3 linked regions of the Anolis sagrei genome follow. The protein of the gene in region 1 purifies or fractionates together with the protein of each later gene. This does not show direct contact. Links are inferred from orthologs where the notes say so. Each region holds a gene or a part of one and is shown in the gene's direction. Other genes may lie near its edges.

The links.
Region 2: the proteins of NOLC1 (region 1) and ARRB2 purify together in Homo sapiens (affinity purification with mass spectrometry; 5 studies listed by BioGRID and IntAct, counting the BioPlex papers as one, with this or other methods). This does not show direct contact. The link is inferred for Anolis sagrei from reciprocal best matches to the Homo sapiens genes NOLC1 and ARRB2.
Region 3: the proteins of NOLC1 (region 1) and ARRB1 purify together in Homo sapiens (affinity purification with mass spectrometry; 4 studies listed by BioGRID and IntAct, counting the BioPlex papers as one, with this or other methods). This does not show direct contact. The link is inferred for Anolis sagrei from reciprocal best matches to the Homo sapiens genes NOLC1 and ARRB1.

The regions. Positions count from the first base shown.
Region 1 is NC_090023.1:147,385,032-147,392,428, reverse strand, and holds the start of NOLC1 (nucleolar and coiled-body phosphoprotein 1), read left to right. Parts: upstream 1-4,394; 5' UTR 4,395-4,419; coding exon 4,420-4,533; intron 4,534-7,397. UniProt on the Homo sapiens protein: Nucleolar protein that acts as a regulator of RNA polymerase I by connecting RNA polymerase I with enzymes responsible for ribosomal processing and modification.
Region 2 is NC_090026.1:259,485-266,877, reverse strand, and holds the start of ARRB2 (beta-arrestin-2), read left to right. Parts: upstream 1-4,319; 5' UTR 4,320-4,451; coding exon 4,452-4,474; intron 4,475-6,201; coding exon 6,202-6,232; intron 6,233-7,393. UniProt on the Homo sapiens protein: Functions in regulating agonist-mediated G-protein coupled receptor (GPCR) signaling by mediating both receptor desensitization and resensitization processes.
Region 3 is NC_090023.1:3,232,623-3,240,600, forward strand, and holds the start of ARRB1 (beta-arrestin-1), read left to right. Parts: upstream 1-4,902; 5' UTR 4,903-5,171; coding exon 5,172-5,248; intron 5,249-7,978. UniProt on the Homo sapiens protein: Functions in regulating agonist-mediated G-protein coupled receptor (GPCR) signaling by mediating both receptor desensitization and resensitization processes.

The DNA.
Region 1 (7,397 bases):
TGAATCTCTTTGTTTGCTCTGCTAATCCCTGTGGTACTCTTTCTTGTTTCCTTTCCATGGTTAGTCAGGTACCATGTACTGCTCCCCACAGGAAAGTCATAGCTGCAGGTAGTCATCTTGACCGGACCATAACATCAGGCTGGGCAAGTGAATCCCTTACAGGCCAGTCTGTATGTAGGTAAGTTCCACTAAACTCAACAGTACTAGCAGTGATGCTTTATATCAGGCCTTCTTAAACTTTTCCCACTCACAACCTGTTCCTCCCAAAAAATCTTTATGTGATTTCACATATATCTATATAAATAAAAATATAATGTTTGTTTGTGGGATTAACATATCTCAAAAACCACTGGATGAATTGACACCACATTTGGACACAATATACTTATCAGGCCAACAAGTGACCATCAGACATAAAAACACTGAAAAACACAGGGACTTGAAAAGCCAAAAAAGCAAAAAAACGCTACATGTGCAAAAGTGACTCCCCTTGGCAAACAAAACACACAATAGCATATCCAAACCCTCTTCCAGACTACAGTTCCCAACATCCCCTAGACCAGACCCTTTAGGAGAGGAGGATGATCCAAATGCACTGCTTCCAAGCTGCAAGCTTTCTTCTCCTTGGATTTCTTTGAGAGCATCCTAATCCCTGCATATTTCCAATTTCCTATTACTGGATTGCAACTCCCAGCAATCCTCCAGATAGATAGATTAGATGGAGATAGGTAGGTAGGTAGATGGATCAGGAGGACTGTTGGGAGTTGCAGTCCAAGAATAGGTAGAGAAGGAAGAAAGGAGGGAAAGAGGAAGGGAAAGAAAAGGTGAGAGGAAGGAAGGGAAGAGGAAGAGAAGGTGGGAAGGAGAGCAAGAAAGAAAGAAAAAAGAGGAGGAAGGAAAGAGGGAGAGAAGGAAGGAAGTAGAGAAAGAAAAAAGAGGAAGAGGGAGGGAAGGTTAGTCACAGCAACGTGTGGCGGGTACAGCTAGTAGGTATATAAAATAGGTATACAAGTCAAGCATGTATTCAATATAAATCATCAGTTGCAAGGCATACTAAAGAGGCTGTTTTTCCTTTTTGTGGAGTACTGCTGAAGCACTTTCTGCAGAGTCCACTGCAAACATTATGTGATAGGTTTGTTTAAAAGCCTAATACAGCCACCAGGTGGCATCCAGAAAATGTTCACAAGTTTTCAAAGGCCCTTCCAGACAGGCCCTATATCTCAGGATCTGGTCCCAGTTTTCCTGTTTATCCCAGATTATCTGGCAGGGCGGATTCATATAATCCAGTTTAAAGCAGAAAACCTGCGGTCAGACCCTGGGAGATCGGGCCTGTACAGAAGGGGCCAAAGGCCCCTTCTACACTGACATATCATCCAGATTGTCAAAACACATCCAGATTTCAACTGGATTATATGAATTTGCACTGCCATATAATCCAATTTAAAACAGACAATCTGGATTTTAAACGGCAGTGTAAAGGGGCCAAAGCTTCATGACTTCTTCATCAGGCAAAGCTGTGAAAATCATAGAGGAGAAAATTGTGATTATGTTACAGTCTCAGACCCCTTCTACACTGTCATAGAAAATCCAGATTATCTGATTTTAACTGGATTATATGGCAATATAGACTCATATAATCGGGTTCAAAGATATCTGCTTTGATAATCTGGATTATATGGCGGTGTAGAAGGGGCGTCTGAAATTTTGTCAATTACAATTGTACTGCCAGATTGAAAAGCCACCTTCCTGATTGGTCTCAGGGGGACTGGGGTAAAGAGCAATACAAGACAGGTAACAAAATTTCAAATAATTTAGTAACAGAAAAGTAACTTCTCTGTCCCAGTCCTATGCAAAGCCAAGCTTTCCTTTCTTTGACAGAGACATTGTGTTCTTCTGTGTATCTCTACCCAGAAATAAACCTACTGAAGGACTCATCTGAAGTATAAGAGTTAGTATAGAATTTTGCTCCAACTGATTTAGAACAACAATAAGGGTAAATAGTTCATGTGATCCTACGCAAGCATTTTTCAATCAAAATGACTGTTCTGTGACCATTAGAGAAGATTAGGCGCCCTTCCACACAGCCCTATATCACAGAATATTTATTTATTTATTTATTTACAGTATTTATATACCGCTTTTCTCACTCCTAGGGGGACTCAAAGCGGTTTACACATAGATAATGGCAAAAAGTAAATGCCTTACAACTACAATAGTAAAACCACACTTTAAACATAAATCATATTAAAAACGGTACATCCCCAAATATCAAAACAGCTATTAAAACCATAAAACAATCTAATCAGTCGAGTCACCGTTCCAGTCCTGGTTCCACTAAAAGCTGCATACATCTATTGTTTGAAGGCCTGGTCCGAGAACCATGATTTTAATTTTTTTCTAAAGGTCAGGAGCGAGGGAGCAGATCTTACCTCCTTTGGGAGTGTGTTCCATAGGCGGGGGGCCACAGCCGAGAAGGCCCTGCTCCTTGTCCCTGCCAGCTGCATTTGCACTGTTGACGGGAGCAAGAGCAGGGCCTCCCCAGATGATCTTAAATTGTGAGGTGGGACATAGGGGCAGATGCGTTCAGACAAGTAAGCTGGGCCCGAACCGTATAGAGCTTTATAGGTCAAAACCAGCACTTTGAATTGGGCTCGGAGATGTTCCGGCAGCCAGTGGAGCTGGCATAACAGGGGGATGGTATGCTCCCTGTATGCCACCCCAGTTAGTAATCTGGCTGCTGCTTGTTGAACTAACTGAAGTTTCCAAACTGTCTTCAAAGGCAGCCCCTTTGCAGAAATTTATTCGGGATGTAACCAGAGTGTGGACCACCGTGGCCAGATCAGACTTCCCAAGGTACAGGCGCAGCTGGTGCATGAGTTTTAACTGCAAAAGCTCCCGTGTCCACCGCCAAAACCTGGGTTTCCATGCTCAGCGATGAATCCAGGATCACTCCCAAGCTGTGAACCTGCGTTTTCAGAGGGAGTGTAACCGCGTCCAACACAGGCTGTAACCCTATGTCCTGTTCGGTCTTTCGACTGACCAGGAGGACCTCTGTCTTGTCTGGATTCAATTTCAATTTGTTAGCCCTCATCCTGTCCAACACAGCAACCAAGCACCGGTTCAAGGTCTGAACAACCTCCTTAGTGACAAAACTATGCATTCCCTGATTATAAACTATCTTTTATTGGAAGTGGGGGGGGGGGGGTCACCTTCGACTACAACCCCATCCACACAGCTGAATAAAATCCCACATTTTCTGCTTTGAACTGGAATATAAGGTAGTGTAGACTCAGGGCCCTTCCACGCATCCATATAACCGAAAATATCAAGGCAGAAAATCCCACAATATCTGCTTTGAACTGGGTTATCTGAGTCCACACTGCCATATAATCCAGCTGTTTGGAAGGGACAGAAAATGCCATTAACTCGGTCTAATCAAGCTTCCAAAGAACATGGCCTTCATGAAAGAGAAAAGCCAAATAATGAACAGACAGTTGAAATTCTGAGGAAGAAATCACTATAAAATCGTTAACATAATAATATGGGAAAAAACAAATATAACTCCAAAACATGTAATAGAGGACCAAAATGATTAAGTATAAATGTAAATGGAAGGTTTTTCTGTAATACTTTGGTCATTTAATATAATTCTTTCTCGAATTGCCCCCTTACAAATCAAATGTATGTGGAGCATGTGGCCCACGTTGGAAATCAGGGGTATAGACCTCTATAATGCAGTTCCCCGGTGGCGCAGTGGGTTAAAGCGCTGAGCTGCTGAGCTTGTTGACTGAAAGGTCGCAGGTTCGAATTTGGGGAGCAATGTGAGCTTCCGCTGTCAGCCCTAGCTTCTGCCAACCTAGCAGTTCGAAAACATGCAAATGTGAGTAGATCAATAGGTACCGCTCCGGCGGGAAGGTAATGGCGCTCCATGCAGTCATGCCGGCCACATGACCTTGGAGGTGTCTACGGACAACGCTGGCTCTTTGGCTTAGAAATGGAGATGAGCACCACACCCCAGAGTCAGACATGACTGGACTTAATGTCAGGGGACAAACTTTACTAATGCAGTTAAATGCAGTTAAAGTGCATTGTATGTGTAGATTCAAACTAACCTCTAAGGCCCCTTCTACACAGTCCTATATCCCAGAATATCAAGGCAGAAAATCCCACAATATCTGCTTTAAAATGGGTTATCTGAGTCCATACAGAGATAATTTTCTGACTTGATATTCTGAGATATAGGGCTGTGTGAAAGGTCCTTAATGATGACCATGGTTTTGAACTCGCACAGCCGGAAGTTCAGAGCGTGAGGTCTCTTTTAACTATTTCTATCTCTATGTTCTCCTCCCAACCAACCGCTCCTTTCCAAGGTTCGTGGGCGGGGCAGGGGGCGGGGCTGCGTCCTTTTCCGGCGGCAAGATGGCGGCGAAGACGCGTGTGGTGCCCAGCGACCTCTTCCCGCTGGTCTTGGCCTTCCTGAGGGAGAACCACTTCGACGGGGCGGCGCGCGCGTTCGGGAAGGCGGCCGGCGTGGTGAGGGCCTTGTGGGGGGCGAGGCCGGGCCCTGTCGCTCTCCGGAGGGGCGCTGCATGCGGGGAGGGCTGCTCCGCCACGTGGGACCCGGGCCTCCCTCCTGAGGGGCGCCCTGATCCGCAGGGAAGGCCAGGCGAGACCAGGTCCAGTTGGGCTTCCAACTCCCAGAATACCTGGCCATTGAACTTGCAAGGGCTTCTCGGGGTTGGAGGCCTCAACAGCTGGAGGGCCCCAGTTGGAGGAGGCCTCCTTTAGGATATATTACAGTGGCTGTCTGCTTAGCATTGCTGCTTTAAAAGAATGTGTAAAAACACCAAAGCTTCCAACAGTAGGGCCCCTTCCACACAGCTGAATAAAATCCCACATTATCTGCTTTGAACTGGGATATATGGCAGTGTGGACTCAGATAACCCAGTTCAAAACAGATATTGTGGATTATTCTGCCTTGATAGTCTGGAATATAAGGCTGTGTGGAAGGGTCCTCTAATGTGCAGCCTTATTTTGTAGAGGTAATTATGTAAAAAAAAAGGTGTTATTTTGCATCAGTTTATTTCAATTTATGCATTTTAATTTGATATTAGCTGTTTATATTTTATTTTGTTGTACTGTAATTCTGGGCTTGACCTCATGTTAGCTGCCGTGAGTTCCCTTTGGGGAGATGGTGGGGTATAAATAAAGTTTATTATTATTATTCTTTGAAACACAACAAGATGAGTCCACAGCAGACAAGATCACTCTGCTGGCTGTTGTATTGGATCACACGTCAGACACTTCCCAAGTGTATTGTCGAAGGCTTTCATGGCCGGAATCACTGGGTTGTTGTAGGTTTTTTCGGGCTATATGGCCGTGTCTAGAGGCATTCTCACCTGATGTTTCGCCTGCATCTATGGCAAGCATCCTTAGAGGTTGTGAGGTCTGTTGGAACTAGGAAAATTGGTTTATTTATCTGTGGAATGACCAGGGTGGGACAAAGGACTCTTGTCTGCTGGAGAAAACTGGACATCTAATCACCTCTCAACAGAGGTTTGCTCCAGGCACTGTCAGGCAATTATATGATAATCAAAGTGGTCAGTTGAAACATTCACACCTAGCTCCAGCAGACAAGAGTCCTTTGTCCCACCCTGGTCATTCCACAGATATATAAACCCCTTTTCCTAGTTCCAACAGACCTTACTACCTCTGAGGATGCTTGCCATAGATGCAGGCGAAACATCAGGAGAGAATGCCTCTAAACCGTGGCCATATAGCGCGAAAAAAACCTACAACAACCCACTTCCCAAGTGTCTAGGACTGTATGATGTATCGACAAATAATGTATGCAGATCCCAGTAAGGTGGCCTTCTCCAGCTGGCAGATGGTAATTTTGTCAGCGCTGATTGTCTTTAGGCACTGCACCCAGTGCCTTTAGGCACTGCACCCAGGTCTTTAGGTCTTTAGGCACTGCACCCAGTGTGCTGATCACCCCTGGGACCACCTTGACTGGCTTGTGCCAGAGTTTTTGCAGTTCGATCTTTAAATCCTCATATCATGTCAGCTTTTCCAGTTGTTTCTCTTCAATCCTGCTGTCGCCTGGGATTGCAACATCGACGATCCATTATTATTATTATTATTATTTTTATTATTATTTGAGTAAATAGGGATATAAATCAATGGAGAAACATTCACAGAAACTAGCTTAATATAAGTCGTATGAGTGGCTTGAAGGGGGCTGTAGATTTCAGACATAGCTTGGATATGGAGGTCAGTGTGTAAGTAAGAAAAACCAAAGGTTTGGCTTTGTCTCACTAAGGACCCTTCCATGCAATTGTATAAAATCCACATTGAACTGCATTATATGGCAGTGTGGTCTCAGATAACCCAGTTCAAAGCAGATATTGTGGATTACCTGCCTTGATATTCTGGGTTACATGGCTGTGTGGAAGGGCCCTAAGAAGCCTGAAAGGGCCTGTGATGCAAGTGTGTTGGCAACAAGACAACAGTTGCAATAAAGAAGATCCTTCTGAATGCATGTCCGAAACAGTTATTTGCTCTGATTATTGAAACCTTTGTGATTCTGTAACATTATGGAGAAGTGTTGCTGTTTTGGCATGCTGCTTTGATGTAAAATTTACTTAGGAGGCTCCACCATGGGCCCTTCCACACAGCCCTATATCCCAGAATATCAAATCCCACAATGTCTGCTTTGAGCTGGGTTATGTGAGTCCACGCTCAGATAATGTGGGATTTTCTGCCTTGATATTCTGGAATATAGGGCTGCGTGGAAGGGCCCCATGTCACATTTTCTCATCCCTATTACGGTTTCAGCAGCATTGCTGTAAGAGTCCCATACAGAGATCCTATATGGAGTTGTATGCACTATTCTAGGAATATGAGAATTTATATCCCATAATCTAGGAAAACGTGAATAGCTGTGTGTGTGTAATATTAAGATTAACTTGAAAGGAAATCTGGGAAGACATACAGGATTTTTCAAACGAACCTAATTTCAAAGCAGTATATTCCACGATGGCAGCATGTTACAATCGCACAAAAACTTACAAGTGGTTTAATGAGTTATGAGATTTTACTAACCATTTTGACTTGGAAACAAATCTGAAACATAATTCCAAAATGGATAGCATATCATTAGGCCTTATGTTGCAGGGCAGTGTGTTTGCTGGGAGAGGCATCTTGCCATAATCATGTGAAACTCCCACCATGTACTCAAGCACATATTTTGCCCTGTTTACTTTTGTGTCTATTTTACTGCTAGATAACTTTCCTGTCTATGAATAGTCTTACCACATTAGTTAAGACATATGTATTAAATTTGCCTGTGTATTTAACCGAATTGCTATGAATGTATACATTGGTACAGAGCCCAT
Region 2 (7,393 bases), on another chromosome or scaffold:
GGCGGAGGGAAGCCCGGCGACGAGGACGAGGACACCGCCAACGCCAACGCCGCCATGATGCTCGCCCCGGGCGCACCGCGCATGCGCCAACAGGCGGAAGGGGCGGGGAGGAAGGCCCGCCAGGCACGCCGGGAAGGCCACCGCCGGGGAGCCTGGAAACCGCAGCCCGGTTGGTGGGTGGCGGGGGACCTTGAAACGACCGCTCCCTTATTTGCATGAATAGGGGCGGGGCCTGCTCCAGGGAAGGAGAAGGGAAAGGGCTTCTGCGCATGTCCGGAGGCTGGGGTTGGAATAGAGGATATTATGTGAAATATATTATGAAAGCCTTCAACACCACATTGTTATTATTTACTTATTATTAATTACTATTACGATAGTTGCATGTTATATATATATATATATATAATTATTTATTACAGATTTACATTTGTATATATCATTATTATTTATTACTTATTCCATTTGCATAGATGTATCCTTATTACACCCTACACCACTGGAGAAATTACACTGCTTAGCCGGTATTGCACCACCTGACATCTGCCGGGAAGGAGCAGCCAATAGTGAAGGGACCAAGGCACAGACATCTCCAGCTCATCCCTTGTTTGGGTATCAGCCAGCACGTCAACAACTTAAATCAAGAAATAGTTTTCTAAGATCTACAGAGACACTCGCTGGAACACCTCAGCAAGTGAGAGTCCAAAAGTGGCAGGCTCAAACTCAGAACCTGATACCAGATGAGAGACTTCCCCCTGGGCACACAGAAGACATGGCAACTTGGAAGGTGCTGAACAGACTGCGCTCTGGCACCACAAGATGCAGAGCCAACCTCAAGAAATGGGGCCACAAAGTGGAGTCCACGACATGCGAGTGTGGAGAACAGCAAACCACTGACCACCTGCTGCAATGCAACCTGAGCCCTGCCACATGATGTGCAAGGGAGGACCTTCTTGCAGCAACACCAGAGGCACTCAAAGGGGACAGATACTGGGCAAAGGACATCTAATCAACTACCAAACTCACAATTTTTTTATTCTGTATTTTGTATTTTGTCTGTTTGTTTGTTTGCTTTGTTCTGTTAGAAATATAATTGACTAGTTGCTGATGACTCGATAAATAAATAAATCCTTATTACATATTTATTGTTATATTTACATGTATACATATCCTTATTGTGTATTTCTATCTTTCTTTTTATCCTTATATATACATATATATATATATATATATATACACTTATTTATTATTATATTTACATTGATATAAATATAACCTTTCTTTTCCAACAAGCTTTCAATGGGTGAATAACTTGGGACTATGTCTGTTCTTGCTTTATTGTATTTTAAAGTTGGTTGTATTGTTTTAATCTACTGCTGTAAACCGCTCCGAGCCAAACTGGGAGTGGCGGTATACAAGTCTAAATAAATAATAAATAAATAAATAAAATATTTTCCTATTACCATTATTCATTTAGGTTTATTTTTTTTATAAAAGTAATCAATTTTAAGACACATACAATTTATAATTCCTACCACCATGAGGATTTCTTATTATTCTTATTTATTATGTATTATATTTACATAATATAGTACATGGAGTGAGAGTTGACAGGCGTGCAAGCTGGCTTTAGAAAAGGCAGAGGAACCAGACCAACTTGCCAGGATTCGGATGCTGGATCACGGAGAAAGGCAGGCAGGGAGCTTCAGAGGAACATCTAGTTCCGTTTTATTGACTATTCTAAAGCCTTTGGGTGGATCATAATAAACTGTCCATGGTGGCATGTATGTGGAGACCAAGTGTCACCTTGTCTGTCTCCTGACGAATCTGCATCACGACCAAGGAGCAACAGTCAGAACTGACCACAGAACAACAGCCTGGTTCAAGATTGGGAAAGGCGTATGGCAGGGTTGTCTACTCTCACCTAACCTATTCAACTTGTATCCTCATGTGAGGATACAAGTTGCCCAGCTTGACGAATCTAAGGCTGGGGTGAAAATTGCTGGAAGAAACATTAACAACCTTAGATATGCAGATGACACCACTTTGATGGCCGAAAGTGAGGAGGAGCTGAGGAGCCTTCCAATCAAGGTGAAAGAAGAAAGCGCAAAAGCCGGGTTGCAGCTAAACATCAAGAAACCCAAGATTATGGCAACAAGAATGATTGACAACTGGGAAATAGAGGGAGAAAATGTGGAGCCGTGACAGACTTTGTATTTCTAGGTGCAAAGATGAGTGCAGATGCAGACTGAGGCCAGGAAATCAGGAGACGCTTCCTTCTTGGGAGGAGAGCAATGTCCAGTCTCGATAAAATAGTAAAGAGCAGAGACCTCAGACTGGCAACCAAGATCCACTGCCTAGTCCAAGCCATGGTATTCCCTGTAGTAGTCACATCTACGGAGGTGAGAGCTGGACCTTCGGGAAGGCTGAGCCAAGGAAGAGAGATGCTTTTGAGCTGTGGTGTTGGAGGAAAGTGCTGAGAGTGCCTTGGACTGCGAGGAGATCCAACCAGTCCATCCTCCAGGAAAGAAAGCCCGACTAAAGCTCACTGGAGGGAAGGAGACTAGAGGGAAAGCTGAAGTCCTTTGAATGCCACATCATGAGGAGACAGCAAAGCCTAGAGAAGACTATTATTGTTATTAAACTTTATGTTTACGAGGAAGAGGGCCTTCTCTGTGGTTGCCTCCCGGCTCTGGAACTTGCTCCCCAAGGAGATGAGGCAGGCACCCACCCTGGCTGCCTTCAGAAAAAGCTTACATGGCTCTTCCGGTGTGCTTCCAGGGACTGAACAATCCGTGTCCATGCCGCGTCCTGACCCAGGGCCAAATCTGCCCCTTGGATGCTGTTCACCTTCTCCCTCCATCTTGTCCCACCCGGAGACTCAAAGTGGCTCACAATCAAAAACATTACAACTTAAAATATACACATATTCAATAACAAAACAGTATTACCATTCTATATTATTGTATATTATTAGTAGTAATTAAACTTTCTATAGTATTATTTTATCACACTATTCTCATTATATTATTCATATGATATTGTATTCAATTATAATATTATCAATATTATATGTACATGAAATATATTCTATTATTAGCCTAGCACAATATTAGTATTATAGATTACTATTTTGTACTATAACCCTAGGCTGCAATATTATTAGTAATGTAACATGTATATGTAGTTATTATAGTGTTATGTGTACTATGTTATTATGCCACAATACATCAATAATACACTATGTATCTATCTATGTATCTATCTATCTATCTATGTATGTATGTATCTATCTGTCTATCTATGCATGTATCTATCTATGTATCTATGTGTCTATCTATGCATGTATCTATGTATCTATGTATCTATCTATGTGTCTATCTATGTATGTATCTATGTATCTATGTGTCTATCTATGTATGTACCTATGTATCTATCTATGTATCTACCTATGTATCTATCTATGTATCTATCTATCTATGTGTCTATCTATGTATCTACCTATGTATCTATCTATGTATCTATCTATCTATGTGTCTATCTATGTATATATCTATGTATCTATCTGTCTATCTATCTTTCCCTCTATCTATCTTTCCCTCTATCTATCTATCTATCTATCTATCTATCTATCTTTCCCTCTGTCTATCTATCTATCTATCTTTCCCTCTGTCTGTCTATCTATCTATCTATCTATCTCCCTATCTATCTATCCCTCTATCTATCTATCTATCTATCTATCCCTCTATTATTTATCTATCTATCTATCTCCCTATCTATCTATCCCTCTATCTATCTATCTATCTATCTATCCCTCTATTATTTATCTATCTATCTATCTATCTTTCCCTCTGTCTATCTATCTATCTATCTTTCCCTCTGTCTGTCTATCTATCTATCTATCTATCTATCTATCTCCCTATCTATCTATCCCTCTATCTATCTATCTATCTATCCCTCTATTATTTATCTATCTATCTATCTCCCTATCTATCTATCTCCCTATCTATCTATCTATCTATCCCTCTATTATTTATCTATCTATCTATCTATCTATCTATCTATCTATCTATCTATCTATCTATCTATCTATCTATCTATCTATCTATCTATCTGTGTATCTCTGGCTGAGCAGGGTTGGCTCTTCTTCCTTCTGGGCGGCCTTCTCCTTGTGGCGCTTCTGCGCAGGCGCGGCTTCTGGGGTGAGGGCGGGGTCACGCCTCCTGCCCCCTCCCTCCCCCTCCCTCCCTCCCCCCTGCCGCGATGACGTCCGCCCCCTCCTCTCGGGCGCGCCCTGGGATTGGCTGCGGGGTCCTGCCCACGTGACCGGGGCCCCTGGAAGGAAGGAGGGCAAGCTAGAGGGGGCCATGGCTGCTGCTGCTGCTGCTGCTTCTTCCTTGCGGCGCTGAGGGAAGAGGAAGAGGAAGAGGAAGGGAAGCAGGAGGGAAGCCAGGATGGGGGAGAAGGCGGGCACCAGGTACCAGCAGGAGGGCGCCCGCCCTGGCCCCTTGGAGGGAGGGAGGGAGGGAGGGGACCCTGGCACCCACCCCGCGGCTCTGGCAACACAGGCCGGCCGGCTGGCCATCTGCGGGGAGGGCTCTGGTGGTGTCTTCCTGGGGCGGGGCCGGGTGGCCTCCTCCGGGGGGGGGGGCTCGGGCGGCGCCTTCTAGGCTCATATAAGTGGGGGGGGGGCGGGTTGGGTGGCCTCGGGGGGGGGGGTCTTTGGGGGTCCCTTGCAAGGAGGCCCTCGGGATGCTGCTGCCCAGGGAGGGGGCGAGAGTGGCCATCTGTGGGGAGGGCTCTGGGGGTGTCTCCCTGGGGCGGGGCTGGGGGGGCCCTGGGGTTCATCCATCCAGCATTCCTTCTGGGAAGGCTTTGAGGGGGAGGCCGGGCGGCCTTTGAGCCAGGCAGGGGCTCAAGTCCAAAACACACGGGGGGAGGGAGGGGGGAGCGAGGGGGGCAAAGCCAGCGCCTTGGGGGGGGGGGGTGGGCAGTGTTGACATCCTGCTCCTGCCAGGCAAGACCAGCACCAACAACAGGCCAAGGGGGTGGACAGGGTGAAAGCCCCCCCCCCTCACTCCACTGGGTGGCCTTGAGGCCTACGCCAAAGCCCACCCCACCCCGCCCCCCGCACTACAAAGTGGGTCCATGTTTGGGGAGGGGGCTCCTTGGCTGGGAAAAAGAGGTCACGGCTCCATTTGGGGGGAACATCAGAGCAGCCAACGCTCCCCCCGTTGTGTTCTCCTTCAATCTAAAGGGGGACCAACTGTTGCCCCCCCAGTAACCTTTGACCTCCCAGGTAACTCCACCTGTAATCACCACCCCTTCCCCAAACTCCATGGCGCGCTCTTCTTCCCATGGGATCATCGTCACTATTATGACAACCCCGCTTTATGTCCCCAGAAGGAGACTCAAAGCAGCTCAAAGACCTAAAAGCATCACCATACCATTTAAATTATTATTATTATTATTATTATTATTTATTACACAGACATATATATATATATATATATATACACATACACACACACACACACACACAAAACCACACACGTGCATACACATTATAGGGTTGTTGTAGTTTTTTTCAGGCTATATGGCCATGGTCTAGAGGCATTCTCTCCTTTAGGAGACCATGCCAAGTCTAGACCATGGCCATATATATGGCCATGGTCTAGACTTGGCATGGTCTCCTAAAGGAGAGAATGCCTCTAGACCATGGCCATATAGCCTGAAAAAAACTACAACAACCCAGTGATTCCGGCCATGGAAGCCTTCGACAAGACACACACATGATATTTATTTATACCCGGTGGCTTGGCCTCTCCGGCAGGAGACTCAAAGACTCAAATTGCCATACAATGTAAATTACTATTATTTATTACACACACAAACATACACACACACACGTGCATTTACATAATATTTATGTATACCCGGCGGCTTGGCCCCTCCTGCAGGAGACTCAAAGCGCCTTAACCTAAAATCACCGGCATACCATCTAAAACATACAAACATGAAGCACGCAATTGTATTTTTGCTGTTGGTGTCGAGTGTGTCCTCAAAACCTGACATTTTGGGGAAGGGACCCTTGCATTTGGGGAGGGGGAAGTGGGGAAGTATTTCCCCCTGAATGTTCCTTCCTCTTTCCAAGGCTCCCTCTCTTCCTCCTCGTCCTCACTCTTCCTCTTTCTCTCCCTGCAGGGTCTTCAAGAAGTCCAGCCCCAACTGCAAAGTGAGTTCCTGCCATCACCCTCCCCCCCTTTTAAATGCCCCCCCTCCCTCCCCCCTGCAGCTACAATGCAGCTGGCTTTGGCCTTTGCGTGTGCTTGCAGCCGCTGCACCATTGCCTTCCCCGCCCTCCTGGTGTGAAGAATACGAGTGCGAGGGCCTCCCTTTGCTGTTGCAGTTGCTGCGGGTTTCCTGTCCCTCTTCCTCTCCACCCGCTTCCTTCCTCCTGCCCAGCCTTTTGGAGAAGGAGAAGGCACGCGGGGGGGGGGGGGGGGGGGTTGCACCTCGATCCTCGCACACTCAGCAGCAGTGCTTCCTGCTCTCATGTACGCCCACACACGCATGCACCAGGACTCCGCCGCCGTTGCACAAGACACCCACGGAACTTCCTCTTGCAAAGCAGGATCCAGAAGGAGATAATAAGAGAGAGAGAGATTGCCTCGGGGATTCCCCCCCCCCCCCCCACACACACACAGAGTCTAGTGAAAAGAGACCTGGTGCACATTGCACTTTGGGATGTTTCACCGCTCTCTGGGTCACGCAACACGTGGCACAAACCAAAGTTGCATTTCTGTACCTCCGTTTGTGACATTGGGCCATTTGTGTTTCTACTCTTTGGTGCAAAGGGAGATGCCCTACTTGTGCAAAGGCCAGAGCAATTGCACAGCACTCCTGGAGTGTGTGTGTGTGTGCAACTCGTGGCACAACTGAGGTTGCATATGGGTGTCTCCATGCTTTTGTTTTCCATCAAAGTGCTGTTGTTTGGTGTGAGGGAAGCCGCTCTTCTTGTGCAAAGGCCAGAGCAAATTCACCGTATTCGTGGCAGGGACCAAGTGCTTGTGCGCAGGATGCAGCAGCCAAATGCAGAGGAAGCAGGCGTTCAACACGTGGCACAAATGAAATTGCATATGTGTGTCTCCATGCTCGTGTTTTCCACCGGAGCACTGCTATTTGTGCAAAGGAAGCTGCCCTGCTTGTGCAAAGGCCAGAGCAAATGCACGGCAGTCGTGACAGGGATCAAGTGCTTTCTCCTGTTTTGAGTGAGGGGAGCCACCCTGATTGTGCAAAGGCCAGAGCAGTTACACAGCAGTTGTTGAGGGGGTGTGTGTGCAACACATGGCATGACTGAGGCTGCATTTGGGTGTCTCTATGCTTGTGTTTTGCA
Region 3 (7,978 bases), about 140 Mb from region 1:
AGACCTGGGTAACAACGGAAAAATTTGTTTCTAAAATCGATTCGTTTTTTGGGGGTTTTTGCGTTTCGTTATTTAAAATAATTACAAAATTTTCCTTTTAAAAAGTTCGATATTTATGAAATTTCGTAAATGTGAAAAATATTACAAAACATTAACGAATCGATTTCCGAAACAATAACGAATCGATTCGTTAATGGCGGACGCGACCGCGAAATACGCTAAAAAACCTCCAAAAACTTCTGAAGCTTCCCTCTCCCTCTGTTCTTGACTGTTGGTATGATATTATAATTTTTTTTCACTAATTAAACAAAAAACTTGCCCCAGACATGCGGAAATAATAACGAAACGACCTCAGAACAATAATGAAACGAATACAATAACAAAATACGAAGCATTTACAAAACGTGTTTAAAAAATCGTTTTTTAAAAAAATTGCTCCAGAATGGTTCGTTATCGTTTTGTAATTTAAAAAATTAACGAATTATTAACGAATTACGAATTAACGAAACGAAACCGCCCAGCCCTAGTATACGGTAGACTCCTGCAGAGGTGAGAGGATCCCTCTTGTCCTTTGCTGAACGTAGCATTTGTTGGATTTTCTTGGTGGGTTTGTAGCGGTGATGGCACAATCATCAGCATAGATGAAACTCTCTGTCCCTTCTGGCAGTGGCTGGTCATTTGTGTAAATGTTAAACATTGATGAAACAAGCACGCTACCCTGAGGCAGGCCGTTCTGCTGTTCTTGCCTTTTGCTTCTCTGGCCCTGGAACTCAACAAAAAAGCTCCTGTTTTGTAGCAGGTTTCCTATGAAGCTGGTGAGGTGGTCATCCTTTGTGATACTCTAGATTTTTCTCAGGAGAAAGTGGTGATTTACAGTACCATATGCTGCTGCTGATGCTGACAGGTCTATGAAGACAGCTCCTGTAATCTGCTGTCTTCATAGACCTGTCAGCAGCGCAATTAAAGCCTTCCAAAGATCTGCCAATGAAAGGCTGCTTCATGCACAAAACTAGCATACAATGCTAATGCATTTGGGCTCATCTCCAGATGGATAATGGCCCACCTATGCATTTGGGGTTGCAACTTGCAAAGATGCACTGGGTGGTTGCATATGTATATTTAGAGATTTGCTCCATTTCCTGCTTTATATCCTAAGTTTCCTCCATCTAGTAGAGGAGGAACTGGTGGTTTGGCCAGCTCCTCCTCCTGCAATACAGCCTATACAGCTGGCTCTCCCCTCCAAGTCCTAAACAGGGCTGACCTTGCTTAGCTTCCAAGAACAGGGTGGCACCTTTTGGGTATTTGCACCCTGTATTGTTTGTGAATAAGCCAGGAAGACTCAGAGATAGTCATTCCAGTTCCTTCCTTTGAAATACAACTTATAGCAGCGGGTATTTGTTGTGTGGTCTCCCCTCCAAGTCCTAACCAGGGCTGACCCTGCTTAGCTTCCAAGATCAATCAGAATCTGGCACCTTTTGGGTATTTAGGCCTTATATTGTTTTGTGAATAGGCCAGGAAGACTGAGAGATAATTATTCCCTTAGTTTGAAATATAATCTTTTCCCATTGGTCTCCCTTCCAAGTCCTAACCAAGGCTGACCCTGCTTAGCTTCCAAGATAGGATGGGATCTGGCACATTTTGGGCATTTAGGCACTGTATTATTTTGTGAATAGACTAGGAAGACACAGAGATAGTCATTCCCTTTTGTTTGAAACACAACCTATAGTTGATGGTCTCCCCTCCAAGTCCTAACCAGGGTTGGCCCTGCTTAGCTTCCAAGATCAGATGGGATCTGGCACATTTTGGGCATTTGGGCACTGTATTATTTTGTGAATAGGCCAGGAAGACACAGAGATAGTCATTCCCTTTTGTTTGAAACACAACCTATAGTATATGGTCTCCCCTCCAAGTACTATCCAGAGTTGACCCTGCTTAGCTTCCAAGATCTGATGGACTCTAGCACTTTTTGGGTAGTTAGAAACTCTATTATTTTGCTAATAGGCCAGGAAGACTCAGAGATAGTCATTCCCTTTTGTTTGAAACACAAGCTATAGTAGATGGTCTCCCCTCCAAGTCCTAACCAGGGTTGGCCCTGCTTAGCTTCCAATATAGGATGGGATCTGGCACTTTTTAGGTATTTAGGCCCAATATTAATTTGTAAATAGGCCAGGAAGACTGAGAGATAGTCATTCCCTTGTGTCTGAAACACAACCTATAGTAGACGGTCTCCCTTCCAAGTCCTAACCAAGGCTGACCCTGCTTAGCTTCCAAGATTAGATGGTATCTGACACCTTTTGGGTATTTAGGCACTGTATTATTTTGTGAATAGGCCAGGAAGACTCAGAGATAGCCATTCCCTACAACCTATAGTAGATGGTCTCCCCTCCAAGTACTATCCAGGACTGACCCTGCTTAGCTTCCAAAATTAGATGAGATCTGGCCCCTTTAGGGTGTTTAGATCATGTATTATTGTGTAAACTCCCTTTGCACTCATGCACAGCTGCTTTTAATTGGCGATTTCAAACCCAGAGTGGCTATACCATCCCCATGGAGCATGTCATTTCTGATGTTCTTCCCCATGGGCCACATGCGCTTTGCGTCACTCTTTCTCCCATCCCAGTTGCCCCAGTTTGCTCTCTTCTGGTCCCTCTGGGTTTGAGAGGAAAGACACAAGGCAGAGGCCATTCGCAGTGACATTGCTGGGAAGTTTTGGAGCCGAAGGACGAGGCGCTGACCTCTGCATCGGGAAGATGTGCGGACAGCGCATAGCTCCCAATGATGGGACAGATTTGGACAGAACGGCCAAAGGTCACTCTCTTTGCAGGCCGAAGGTCTTGGGCTCAAATGCATCTAGATCCAGTGCGCAGCTGGTGGAAGAGATGATGCTGGGGGCAAAACAAGCACATCCTGCATTTGGTTTCATTTGCCATCCAGTTGGGTTTGACTTACAAGAAGTCTGAGGACAAGATGCTTTCCATGGTAGTTGTTTGCAAATATCTCTAAAGACACCTGATCTTTGGAGCTAAGCAGGGTCTGCCCTGTTTACTACCTGGATGGGAGACCGCAAGCAGATACTTAATACTGTGGGATGTATTCTCGAAACACCCGAATATCCTAAGTGCACCAGGCCCTTTCACATCGTGGATGCTAAGCAGGGTCTGCCCTGGCTACTAGCTGCACACATATACATATACACATGCACACATTCATACACATATATGCACAAGCACATACAGATATACACATATATACACACATACACACATATATACATATGCACACATTCATACACACGCACATATATGCACAAGCACATACAAATATACACACACATATACACACATATATACATATGCACATGCACATACAAATATACATATATACACACATATACATATACACATGTGTACATTCATACACACACATATGCACAAGCACATACAAATATACGCATATACACACATACACACATATATACATATGCACACATTCATACACAGACACATATATGCACAAGCACATACAAATATATACACATATATACACACATATATGTATGCACATGCACATACAAATATACATATATACACACATACATATACACATGCACACATTCATACACACACATATGCACAAGCACATACAAATATACACATATATACACACATATACATATACACATGCACACATATACATATACACATGCACATGCACATGCGCACATATATGCACAAGCACATACAAATATACACATATATACACACATATGCACACATTCATACACACATTCATGCACAAGCACATACAAATATACACACATATATACATATGCACATGCACATACAAATATACATATATAAACACATATACATATACACATGTGCACATTCATACACACACATATATACACACATATATACATATGTACATGTACTTACAAATATACATATATAAACACATATACATATACACATGTGCACAAGCACATACAAATATACACACATATATACACACATACACACATATATACATATGCACACATTCATACACACGCACATATATGCACAAGAACATACAAATATACACACATATATACACACACATACACACATATATACATATGCACAGGCACACACAAATATACATATATACACACATATACATATACACATGCACACATACATGCACACATGTGTATATGCATATACACATGCACACAAATATATACATACACATATATACACACAAATATGCATATAGACAAGCACACAAATACACAATATGCATATACATATATAAACAAATAAACACACAAATACACAAATATGCACACACATGTATACACCCACACACACATATATATGCAAACACACATATATACACAAATATATAAGCACACATTACTTCCTTAGGTGACCTCTCGTTCGAGTAGGATGCATATACATATATAAACCAATAAACACACAAATATAAATACACAAATATACACACACATATATACACCCACACACACATATATATGCAGACACAAATATATACACACACATTACTTACTTAGGTGACCCCTCGTTGTTCGAGTAGGATAATCCTCCAGGGTGGGTCCATAACACATACACACACAAAATACATATATACAGACTGGGCCACAGCAATGCATGGCAGGGGGTGGCTAGTGTGTGTGTGTATATATATATATATCTGTATACAGAGAAAAACAAATTACCTGTGAGACACAGTGTGGGAAAGGAGAGGATGCGCTGCAGACAATGGACCTGCAAGGAAACCTGGCAAGGAGATGCAAGGCGTGTGCTGATTCCGTGATGCGTCCACCATCGCCTTTCCGTTTGGAGCATTGGGATGCGTCCTTGGCAAGGGCTGGGCTGCTGTGTTTTACGGGAAGCATCTGGACCGCGCATCGCAGCCGGGCTTCCTTTGCGCTGCCTTCCTGGGATGCTCAGGAAGCCCTTTTTGGAGCAAAGACAGCCGCTGCAACACACGGCTTGTGCGCTCCATGCTGCCGCAGCAGAGAGAGGGCTGGGCTGGCGCACGGCGTGTGATGCCGGCACAGGAACAATCGTGCCAGGCACAGGGTTGCGCCTGGTCCAGCCGAGCGAGGTTCAGCCTTCTTCCCTGCCTTCCCTGTCTCGACTCGTTTGCTGGCCCCTTCTGCCATGAAAGGGGCCCATGGGGGATCCAGAGGTCTCGACGGGGGCCCCACAAACAGAGCCACAGAAGAGGTCATGAAGCGGTAAGCAAGGGGTAGCATGGGCACATGGGTGAGCATCTCTCCAGAGGCTCAAATCTCTTGCAATGGCACAAATGGGTCCACTGTATCCATCTAGTGCAGACATGGGCCAACTTGGCCCCTCTAGGTGTTTTGGTATGTGGGGATCTGTTTGTGGGGAATTGCAAAGGATTCATGCCATAGGACCCCTGAGCATGACACAATGATGTCAAACTGCCTGAACTTCCTTTGTCTGCGGCGCATCTGAACATTAGGAAGAACTCTCTGACTGTGAGAGCCGTTCAGCAGTGGAACTCTCTGCCCCGGAGTGTGGTGGAGGCTCCTTCTTTGGAGGCTTTTAAGCAGAGGCTGGATGGCCATCTGTCAGGGGTGATTTGAATGCAATATTCCTGCTTCTTGGCAGAATGGGGTTGGACTGGATGGCCCATGAGGTCTCTTCCAACTCTTTGATTCTATGATTCTACGTTCTATGAACTCTACGAGGGAGATCAGGCACAGGCAAATTCATCCCTCCGGGCATTTTGGACTTCGACACCCACAATCCCTAGCAGCCGGCTATTAGGAATTGTGGATGCTGAAGTCCAAAATGCCCGGAGGGATGACATTTGCCCATGCCTGTGATAGATGCACGTCTTAGGTTCATGGAGGATCTCGAAAGCACTCTGCACATGCTCTGCTATGTTTCGGTGACCAGGTGCCAAACTACAAACCCCATGATCCTAAAGGACAGGCCTGAGCAAACTTGGGCCCTTGAGCGCTCCAGCTGGAGGTCAGCTGTGACCAGCAGTGCTGCAGAAGGAGGGCAAAAGAGATAAATGTGCCAAGAGGAAGGCGCGTCAAGCCAACCCCGACTTGGGCCCTCCAGGTGTTTTGGACTTCAACTCCCACAATTCCCAACAGCCTCAGCCCCCATCCTTTCCCCCTTCATGGGCCAACTTGGGCCCTCCAGGTCTTTATGGACTACAACTCCCACAATTCCTAACAGCCTCAGCCCCCATCCTTTCCCCCTTCATGGGCCAACTTGGGCCCTCCAGGTCTTTTGGACTACAACTCTCACAATTCCTAACAGCCTCAGGCCCCATCCTTTCCCCCTTAATGGGCCAACTTGGGCCCTCCAGGTCTTTATGGACTTCAACTCCCACCATTCCTAACAGCCTCAGGCCCCATCCTTTCCCTCTTCATGGTCCAACTTGGGCCCTCCAGGTGTTTTGGACTTCAACTCCCACAATTCCTAACAGCCTCAGGCCCTTTCCTTTCCTTGCTTAAGCGGCTGAGGGGGAAAGGATGGGGCCTGAGGCTGTTAGGAATGGTGGGAGTTGAAGTCTAAAACACCTGGAGGGCCAAAGTTGGCCCATGAAGGGGGAAAGAATGGGGCCTCAGGCTGATTTTACCAAGCTGGTTTGGTGCTTAAGGTCAGAGGTGTTCCTGCTCTGGTGTATGACAGCATCCTGGGAGTTGTAGCTTTACAAGGTGTTGAACCTTCCCCGCTGGGGCCTCACCAAACTACAAATCCCATCATGCTATCGCATTGAGGCATTGAGGCATGGTATCCATCCAAATGCTGGAAGCAGGGTTTCTCCAGATGAGGAGGTCTGATCAAAGCAGAATTGAGTTGGAACTATGACCTCCCTTGGTCTAGACCAGGCATGGGCTAACTTCAGCCCTCTTCTTGCTATTGCTATGCTATGGACCTTGGGAGATGTAGTTTGGTGAAGAAACAGCACTCTTTGGAAGAGAAGATTTAAGTCTTTGCAAAACTACGACTCCCATATTCCATAGAATAGACTCATAGAACCCTAGAGTTGGAAGAGACCTCCTGGGCCATCCAGTCCAACCCCATTCTGCCTAGAAGCAGGAAAATTGCATTCAAAGCACCCCCAACAGATGGCCATCCAGCCTCTGTTTAAAAGCCTCCAAAGAAGGAGCCTCCACCACACTCCGGGGCAGAGAGTTCCACTGCTGAACAGCTCTCACAGTCAGGAAGTTCTTCCTAATGTTCAGATGGAATCTCCTCTCTTGTAGTTTGAAGCCATTGTTCCCTTGCGTCCTAGTCTTCAGGGCAGCGGAAAACAAGCTTGTTCCCTCCGCCCTAGAACTTCCTCTCACATATTTATATTTGCTTACTAACTTACTTACTTACTTACCTCGTTGTCTGAGTAGGATAGACTTCCAGGATCAGTGTGGTTGTGGTGGGTCCGTAGGTGACTGTGGAGCCCTATTCTTGATCTGCATGTTCTCCCTTCCAAAGTGAGGGCATTGGTTTCCAGGTGGAAGGCGGGTCCCGGTTGGGGTTGGCTTGACGCGCCTTCCTCTTGGCACGTTTCTCTCTTTCACCCTCCATTCACGTCTCTTCAAATTCTACAGCACTGCTGGTCACAGCTGACCTCCAGCTGGAGCGCTCAAGGGCCAGGGCTTCTCAGTTCTCAGTGTTTTTAAGGTTGGCTTTGAGCCCATCTTTAAATCTCTTTTCCTGCCCACCAACATTTCCTTTTTCCATTCTTGAGTTCGGAGTAGAGCAACTGCTTTGGGAGACGGTGGTCGGGCATCTGGACAACGTGGCCGGTCCAGCGGAGTTGATGGCGGAGGACCATCGCTTCAATGCTGGTGGTCTTTGCTTCTTCCAGCACGCTGACGTTTGTCCGTTTGTCCTCCCAAGATTTTTGCAGGATTCTCCGGAGGCAGTGCTGATGGAATCGTTCCAGGAGTTGCATGTGACGTCTGTAGACAGTCCAC